Danio rerio: one gene and its partner. The protein of the gene in region 1 interacts with the protein of each later gene in a biochemical or structural test. Links are inferred from orthologs where the notes say so. Each region holds a gene or a part of one and is shown in the gene's direction. Other genes may lie near its edges. The genes, in order: bcl11aa and nr2f1a.

What was found.
Region 2: the proteins of bcl11aa (region 1) and nr2f1a form a complex in vitro, tested with the Homo sapiens proteins (2 studies listed by BioGRID). The link is inferred for Danio rerio from reciprocal best matches to the Homo sapiens genes BCL11A and NR2F1.

What each region holds. Positions count from the first base shown.
Region 1 is NC_133188.1:29,070,230-29,074,545, forward strand, and holds the start of bcl11aa (BCL11 transcription factor A a), read left to right. Parts: upstream 1-1,279; 5' UTR 1,280-1,384; coding exon 1,385-1,439; intron 1,440-1,829; exon of another isoform or gene 1,830-2,247; intron 2,248-4,316. UniProt on the Homo sapiens protein: Transcription factor. Associated with the BAF SWI/SNF chromatin remodeling complex. Binds to the 5'-TGACCA-3' sequence motif in regulatory regions of target genes, including a distal promoter of the HBG1 hemoglobin subunit gamma-1 gene.
Region 2 is NC_133180.1:53,814,363-53,818,862, forward strand, and holds the start of nr2f1a (nuclear receptor subfamily 2 group F member 1-A), read left to right. Parts: upstream 1-1,698; 5' UTR 1,699-2,400; coding exon 2,401-2,833; intron 2,834-4,129; coding exon 4,130-4,500. UniProt on the Homo sapiens protein: Coup (chicken ovalbumin upstream promoter) transcription factor binds to the ovalbumin promoter and, in conjunction with another protein (S300-II) stimulates initiation of transcription. Binds to both direct repeats and palindromes of the 5'-AGGTCA-3' motif.

The sequences.
Region 1 (4,316 bases):
CTCGCTCGCGGGTCACGTATTATCTCCAGCATTCGGCTTCAACTCCGATCGGTTCCCTATTGAATTGTGCCTTTTCCCCGCAGACTGTCACTTGTTCACGCAGCCTCTGCTTTCTCTGGAGTAGTCGCTATAGTCTAGTTGTACTTCTACTAGTTCGCAGGGGTGTCTCTCTCTTCCTCCCACCTCATGCATTGAACTAGCTTGTCATCGCGTTCGGTTATACGCTTCATGTCTCTTTAATTTCGAATGCATCAGCGCTGTTTACAGCATCTTTATATTTCTAAATCCACGCGGCGGTTTACTGACACCCCCTCCTCCCCCCAGTCGCCATTCTCTATAATCTGAACACATCTGAAAGTTATTACCCCGTCCCCTTTCTTTCTAGTGGGCTGCTCCCACAATCTATTCGTCAGTGTGTTGTTATATTTTTACAATTACACTCTTGTAGTATTTAAGTCCCACCTACATCGCGCGCAGAGCGCACGAGCAAGTATCCCATCCCGCTTTATGTGATGTGCCTTAAGTTTCTCTGAGCTGGAGGAATGTGGCAGCGCACGCGGCGGTTGAACCCTGCACATGCCCCGGCTCGGAACCTGTCTGTCCTGTTCATGCAACCCGATCGTGTCTCGCTGAAAAGCAGCTACCTTGCGCGCTACCTTTGACTGTTTGACCAGGAGTTGAGTCAGTGTGTTTGAAACACCATCAGTGTCCACTACGAAACCTTAAATGCGAGGCTCCTCTCTCACTGTCTTTGTATATATAGCACGTCCGGCCCCCTTGAATCTCCTGTCCATTGGCTTTTCGTGCTCTGTTTTCCTGCGTCCACCCCCAGAGCGCGAGCGCGCGCGGACGCACACACACACACACACACACTCCGCAGCGCACATTGCTTTCATTAAACATATCTCCCCCTCTCTCTCTCCTTGTGTGTGTGCTTGTCTCTCGCTCCCTCTTTCTCGCCTCTTGTCCGGCCCCCTGATCTTTCTGTCCATTGGCTTCTTCGGGTCTATTTTTCATGTCCAGCCCCTAATGAGTGTCCATTGGTTTTGTTATTTCCACTCCCTCCTCCTACTCCACGGCTTTGCCCTGCCCATGTTCTGTATGTCTGTGTCCATCCATCTCCTGACGTTCAAGTTCGCAGGGACGTCACGTCCGCACTTGAACTTGCAGCTCAGGGGGGCTTTTGCCATTTTTTCATCTCTCTCTCTCTCTTTTCAAAAAAGCCATGACGGCTATCCCACAATCCATCTTCCCTGCGCCATCTTTGTATTATTTCTAATTTATTTTGGATGTCAAAGGCATTGATGAAGATATTTTCTCTGGAGTCTCCTTTCTAACCCGGCTCTCCCGATGTGAACCGAGCTGAAAGCCACCACCAACCACCATGTCTCGCCGCAAGCAAGGCAAACCCCAGCACTTAAGCAAACGGGATTTTTCGCGTAAGTAAAGACAAATATATGTTGTGCCCGTTGCCTTTACCTGTTTTTTGGCTGCGTTGTGTAGCGTTGAGTTGCTGGAGAGGAGCGTAATTCTCAGGGAAGACACACTGGACATTGGACAGCGCAGCGCCGATCAAGTGGACTTTAGCGAAGAGAGCGTTCCCATCTCTTGAATGCCTTTACGCGCACCGAATCGCCAAAAAGTTTGTCTTCCATCGCTGTACTTGGAGAAGTTCGTGTCGACTCTGTGTTTAGGCGCATATGTCTTGGCTCTCGTGCCCCAGTCGCTTTGACCACTTAAGAGCAAACGCTCACATATACCGGACCGTGGTGGGTATATGCACGCGTGCTTTCGCTTGCTTATTTACTCTCACATCTCGTGGAGTGTCCCGCAACGCTGTCTGTCTGTGATTCTGGGCAGGATTTCCCCCCTCTCGCACTATTTTTGGAAGATTTTCAAAGAGTGGAAGCGAATTTTGATTGGGAAAAATCTCGTGTCCGACTGTTTACAAGCGCCGCGTGCGCTTACTACCCACTGCCAGCAAATAGAGCACGATAGTCTTCTGCCTGAGACTAACAGCGCAGAGTAAGACATCTGCATATAGCCTAATATCGTTTCGAGTTTTACACATTAACGCTTTTCTAACGTTTGAAGCAAAACGCGGTTGTGCAGTATTTGTGGGCTTTCGCTGAAAAGCAGTAGAAGAGTATTTTACGTTACGCTCTTTGCCGTTTCGAGTACATTTGCAAGGAGAGAAATACGATTTCTATTTAGGCCTGATTTTCGTCTTAAATGTCGTTGACAAAGGTAAGACGAAACCTAAATATAATGCAACTATTTGGATACAAATGTATCGAGAAAACCAGGCTTTTTATGCATATATTCGTAACACACTAACCTACTGTTCTTCCAGAGATCATGTTAGTTGACACACTAAACGTGCTTTGAAGGACTGTGATAAGTTGCATTTTTCTAAATAAAGTATGCTTCAGATTATATGAACCTGAAATGTTGTCAGGAGCTCGACGACACAACCATTTAGCTTCTATCTTTTTGATGTTTTAGTTTTGATGTCTGAAACGTAAATCTTCAAAAGCATTAGTCCGCGTTTTAATAGATAAACGTGTTTGACACAAATCCTGAGTTGTTGTAACATTGTAAAGTATCGTGTAACATTATTGGGTTTCCACACACAGGCTGTGGATCTCAGCGCGGGTTACTCTGCGCTTTCGCTGCTGCACGTGTCCGAAATCCACCGCTAGGGGGCACACGACGATCATAAACTAGACTCGAACCCGATCAGTTTCAGCACTATCTATATTTGACCATATGTTTGCAAGAGCGAAACGTATTGTATATGAACTTGTAACAGTTTTTTTTTTACCCCGTCCTGAACTGGCATGAATTATAGGATTTTTAAAAAAATGTCTTGTATATTTTGTAATGGATCTAGAAAACTAACATGACTTTCAGGTAATGCAAACAGAGCCAGTATCGATCTTGATAAACTTTGCCATCCAATTTATAATTACACAGAAGACGGTTATTTTTAAAGCAAAGAAACAACAAGCGAGCCTACAAACTTTTTTAATGAATTTATTCAAAACCCCTTTGAATTTCATACACAGAGAAGCTAATACTAAATCTTTTTTTTGTAATAAGATGCTTTTGAATTTTAGACAAATTAATTGTTTTTAAGTCTTTAAATATTTTTTAGTTTAAGAACTGATTTAATTTGAAATGCATATGCAGGTAATGTAATTTAAAACTATTGTGAAAACTCAGTTTAATACAGTTTTCCACACTTTCCACAAATTTTGAGTTGGCTTAATTTGTTTTAAAATGGTTGAATATTCCTTCAAAACACATTCATGGAATCCTAGTTTATTTATGCAAGGTCAATCGTAGTCTGTGAAGTATATATAATAATATTTAAAAATATGCATATGCACGGAAATCTTTAAATGCCATTACCGATTGTAGAATAACGCATAACTTTAAATGTTGTATTAAGCTATTGTATTAATGTTACATTTTATTGAAGCTGAAATATCTATTAAGCAACTATATGTACTCGCTGGGTGTTATTAAATTATGACTCAAGTTTTTGCAAATATGTCGATTATCTCTGTTTTTATCACAAAATCACACATTACTGGACGTTCTACATCTGGTATCATTACGAATTTAATACGAATCAATATCAATCTGTGTATCTTGGAACCAGATACAAAAACGTTTAACTTCACTTTAAATTGCTCCTATTAGAAATGCAAGCAATTACGCACAATAATACAATGTAAAAACGGAAAACATTCGCTCATATTTAAGGGTAATTGATCACGTTTCGTCTTTGTTATTTCATGTGCAAACGTGTCGAATATTTTACTCATAACCACGTCTGGGAGATACTTCACATCTGCCCCTCAGTATCTGCCCCAGACTGGGCTGAGGTAAATTTAACCGCCCTGCTCGTGATCCCAACACCTTTTTTATTATTATCAAAATCTGTACCAATCATCACCCACTAAAATTAAAATCTATTTTTTGATTCTCAGTGGTTTTAGGTTCATTAAAGCATGAAATTGGCAGCTTATAAAGAAGGTCAAGATTCTTAACCATTAGCAAGCTAGTGTAACCTCCGCGCGAAAGATTTCGCTAAACAGCCGTTATAAATACCTGTGTGTGTGTGTGTGTGTCTGTGTGTGGACTGTATAGCTAACTTTATTGAGAATGGAAAAAGGTATCAGTACTTTTACTCCAAGTGTGAAGCATGTATTGATGCTGCTGTGACTGTTTTGGTTTTGCTGGATATCTACACGTGTTGTACATGCAGTCATAATCCAGATGTGTGTGTGTGTGTGTGTGTGTGGTTG
Region 2 (4,500 bases), on another chromosome or scaffold:
GTCCAAGTGTCCACTTTACCGTTTCTTCAGTGCTGTTTTCATGCGTGCCTTGTGTTCCCATTCGCTGTCCCTCTCCCTCTCTCCCCTCTCGCTCTCTTCCCTATCTGTGGAGTAAAACCTTGATGGTACACTTACAGAAGTTTCTCTTTGTTCGTTTTAATCTTATTCGTTTCACCTTTGCAATGAACAGAGGACAACAGCGTGTGTTTCTATGGATCTGTTTGTGGAGGGACGGAGAAGCTCCGCGGTCGAGTTGAAAATAAGCTACCTTTTTGTAACTAGAGGGTTTCTTGAACGGTCGGGTATCGGGGTTTTGTTTCCTCTTAACTTCACTTACACAGTTTTGGACTTTGATGCATTGTTTGTACAAAAAAAAAAAAAAAAAAACTTATGGTAAAAATAGGTGATAGGTGATAAAGGCTACTAAAATATTTATTAAATACTTGAATTTTAAACATTGCTGTTTTGTCCGCTAATAAGAGGCCAAAAAGCTTTTCTCCGAAAACAAAAATAAAATAAGCATCTCAAGTGGAGACATTGATAAAAAATAAAAATAAACTTGATGCTAAACAAGTTCCTGCAAAACATAATCAAAATACTTTTAAATCTGATGTTTTTAATAGCCTACTTCACTAAAAAAAATCAGAAACATTCATCCCACCGCGCAATTTGTCTACGAGTTACATTTGGAAACATGCTTTAAATGACAATAAATTACTAATTTTTCATGTCGCTGTAATTGTCTACTGTACGCTAGATGGCAGCCCGATCCAGACATTATAAGTCTGTACAGCGCAGCCTTCAGCATTCATGCTCAAAAAGCCGGTTTCCCTGCGCATTATACCAAAACTTCCCTCGTTAATAAATATGTTAAAACATGGATGGATCCATCGATGTATTTTTCTATTTTTCAATATCATTATACTTTGATTCCTCTTTTGTGCCCTGGTTTACTGCTTGATATGTTTCCTATCACTGAGAAAACATTCCGTTATAGCCTATACTGATATATCCCTCTAGTCAAACTAGTGGTAGTCATCGCGCTTCCCGGTGCTTTTTAATTTAATCGTTGTGCTGAGGATTAAGTGTAATATTGACACGTAAAAGCGAATTTTATACATCGATACGCAATTTCGAGTCGGTGGGCTATATCGGTCTGTCAAATTGCGTTAAACATTAATGGGACCTTCATAGTTCAAATCTGGACGCCGTTACGGTGTTTTTGTGTAATTAAGACTAGGGCTTTGAACAAAACACTTTCAACTTTGTGAGGTTCGCACCAGTCCTTTTGCCTCACACGCATTTGTTTATTTTTCACGTGCGCGTAGTTCGCTCATTGCTTTCATCCCGCTTTTCGCCGCTTCTTTCTGGGGTTTCTTCCTCTTTTTTTGTGACAATAGACGGTCCATTCTAATCGGGTTTCAAAGTAAATAGCAGCGCAGGGGCGAGAGCAATGTAAATTGTGCTTGTCAGAGCCCTCAGTCGTAGGTAGCGAGGAGCGAGGACTCTAACCAATGGAGTGAAGGAGGCTTGGCTAACCTTAGCCTCCCATTTTCTCTCTCCCCCCTCGATGCAGGGTTCTGACCAGTCAGTCGCCTTTGATTATCAGTTGCCAGCAGCCCCTCTCTTGGCTCCTTGACACGAGCACCATATAAGGCGCAGCGATCTCCATAGAAACGTGTCAGTTTCAATAGTAGTGTCAAAGTTCACTATATACAGACATTCGCGCAGATCTCCGTTTCGGAAACATTGCTCCGCTGGTACTCCCGTTAAAACGCATTCTTTTTGGGTCTCTGCTTCTTACATATTCCATTAGTTGCTTTTTTTCTTTTCTTTTCCTACTGGAGAGGTGAAACTACATAGCCAGTCGGGCGACGTTGCTTTTTTTCGCTGGACCAGATGAGCTTTATTCATGAACATAGATAGAGAAATCCGTTCTTCAGTGTTTCCTCCTCTCCAACCGCGAAGACGGAGAGAGGAGCAAGGAAGAAAAAAGAGGGGAATTTATTTTGCACAGCACTTTGGATCTGCGGTCCACCAGAAAGCTATTATTTTTGCTTCAACGTGAAGATTTTGTTTTTTACTGCGGTATTTTTTAAGAAAACTGTTTTTTTTTATATTACGTCTGGGATCGCTTTCTTCATTCACGATTGGGTTCCCGAATGGCTGACTGCAATTTACCTTGGAACTGGCCTCCCGACAACTGCATATCCTGATCGGGTGCCTTTCTATCGACTCCGGTATTTTGAATGTATTGACCATTTTCTGCTTCTACTTTTTTCCCTATGAGATTGAGTGCTCCGATTTGAATTCGCGCTGCCGTTCGTCCAAGACTTCCCTTTTCCCTGCTCCGATATCCGAGCGACCAGTTCGCTTGAAAGCACTTTTCGGGCCCGAGATATGGCAATGGTAGTTAGCGTCTGGCGAGATCCGCAGGAAGACGTGGCTGGAGGACCTCCGAGCGGCCCCAATCCAGCAGCTCAGCCGGCGAGGGAGCAACAGCAGGCGGCGTCAGCGGCACCACACACTCCGCAGACCCCCAGTCAGCCAGGACCTCCGTCCACACCAGGGACGGCTGGCGACAAGGGCAGCCAGAATTCTGGACAGAGTCAACAGCATATAGAATGTGTTGTTTGCGGGGACAAATCAAGCGGCAAGCACTATGGTCAATTCACCTGCGAAGGATGCAAAAGTTTCTTCAAGAGGAGTGTCCGAAGGAACTTAACATATACATGTCGTGCCAACAGGAACTGTCCTATTGACCAACACCATCGTAATCAGTGCCAATATTGTCGGCTGAAGAAGTGTTTAAAAGTGGGCATGCGGCGGGAAGGTGAATATATTTTTCTGAATACATCACACTTGCTACACAAACAGGTTTATTGTTTAAAGCAAGGTTATGCAGACCTCGCAATATTAATATGCAAACGCAAAATACTATCGTATTGAATTATTGCTAAAGAGTGTCAGAGGGCGCGTTTGTAAATACACGCGTATATATGCAAGATCAGCATGGATCTATTATAGTTTTTTTTACATAGATTGGCAAATATCGTATGCACCAATTTCAACTCGCAAATAACAATATATATTATAAAGTCACCCAGTAAACACTGTGTGTGTCAAAAAGAAAGATAAAGATTAAGTGTGTAGCTAAGCCTACGTGCTTTTACGTGTGTGCTGAAAGACGAAAAAGCTAACTACGTTCACATGCACATATAGTGTACCCTATTGAAATAAGAAGCTATAGCCTATGTTTATCTCTCGAAGTAAGATGTACAAGTCTGTTTTCACGCCGTAGCCTAGAGTAAACGTTCAGAGAGGCCTGTCTGTCCCCTCTCAGCCTAAGCTGTATGTGAACAATGGCCTTTACAACTTACACTCTAGTCTTAATAACGAGTAGTGCGAAACTGCTATTGATAATATTTAGATTCTTTTAAAAACTTAACACGTGCCCTTTGTCCTGTTTATTTTTATTCATTTATTTTTTACTTGAATTTAATAATGAAAACAAACTCTTCGTACTCGTTTGTGGACATTTTCACTGTTCCAGAGTTAGTACTCATTATTAAATTGCCTGGAAACGTGTTACTACACGTAAACCTACACATACGTATATTACAAGTATTACATATAATATTATTACAGTATAGCATTTATAATCAGACAGATGTCAGTGGCAGTGAACTAATTCTACTGAAGTCGAGATTTAAACCCGTTTTGTCCACTGTAATGTTTGCTACATGCCTATAAAACTACAAAATAACATTTCAAACGAATTTTCATGTGCGTGCGCGTGTTTGTGGAGACATAAATAGACACAAACACAGCGAGTGAGAGAGAGATAGCTAGCGTTTGTATGTCTCCATATTCTGTCCATATACAAAGGTAAACATTTACCATCCAATAATAAATGAGGTTAGTAGGGATACAAGGACCATGTGAAAAGATTTTTCTTCGAAACGCAATGCCTCACAAATAAATATTAAATATTGTGCAATTTTGTTGCAATTTCGTATATGATAAACAGCAGTCTAGACTGCTCATGCACTCGAAGTAAAGCTTCCACATCAATGATGTTTCTCAGTTCTGGATGTACATTTCCTCTCCCTTTCTTTCTTTTTGTCAGCGGTTCAGCGAGGAAGAATGCCTCCAACCCAACCGAACCCGGGCCAGTATGCGCTAACGAATGGGGATCCTCTGAACGGTCATTGCTATCTCTCCGGATACATCTCGTTACTACTTCGGGCCGAGCCTTATCCTACGTCTCGCTATGGCAGCCAGTGCATGCAGCCCAATAATATTATGGGGATCGAGAACATCTGTGAGCTTGCAGCTCGTCTGCTCTTCAGTGCAGTGGAATGGGCAAGGAACATCCCTTTCTTTCCCGATCTGCAGATCACCGACCAGGTGTCATTGCTCAGACTGACATGGAGCGAGTTATTTGTGCTAAACGCGGCTCAGTGTTCCATGCCCCTACATGTGGCCCCACTGCTCGCC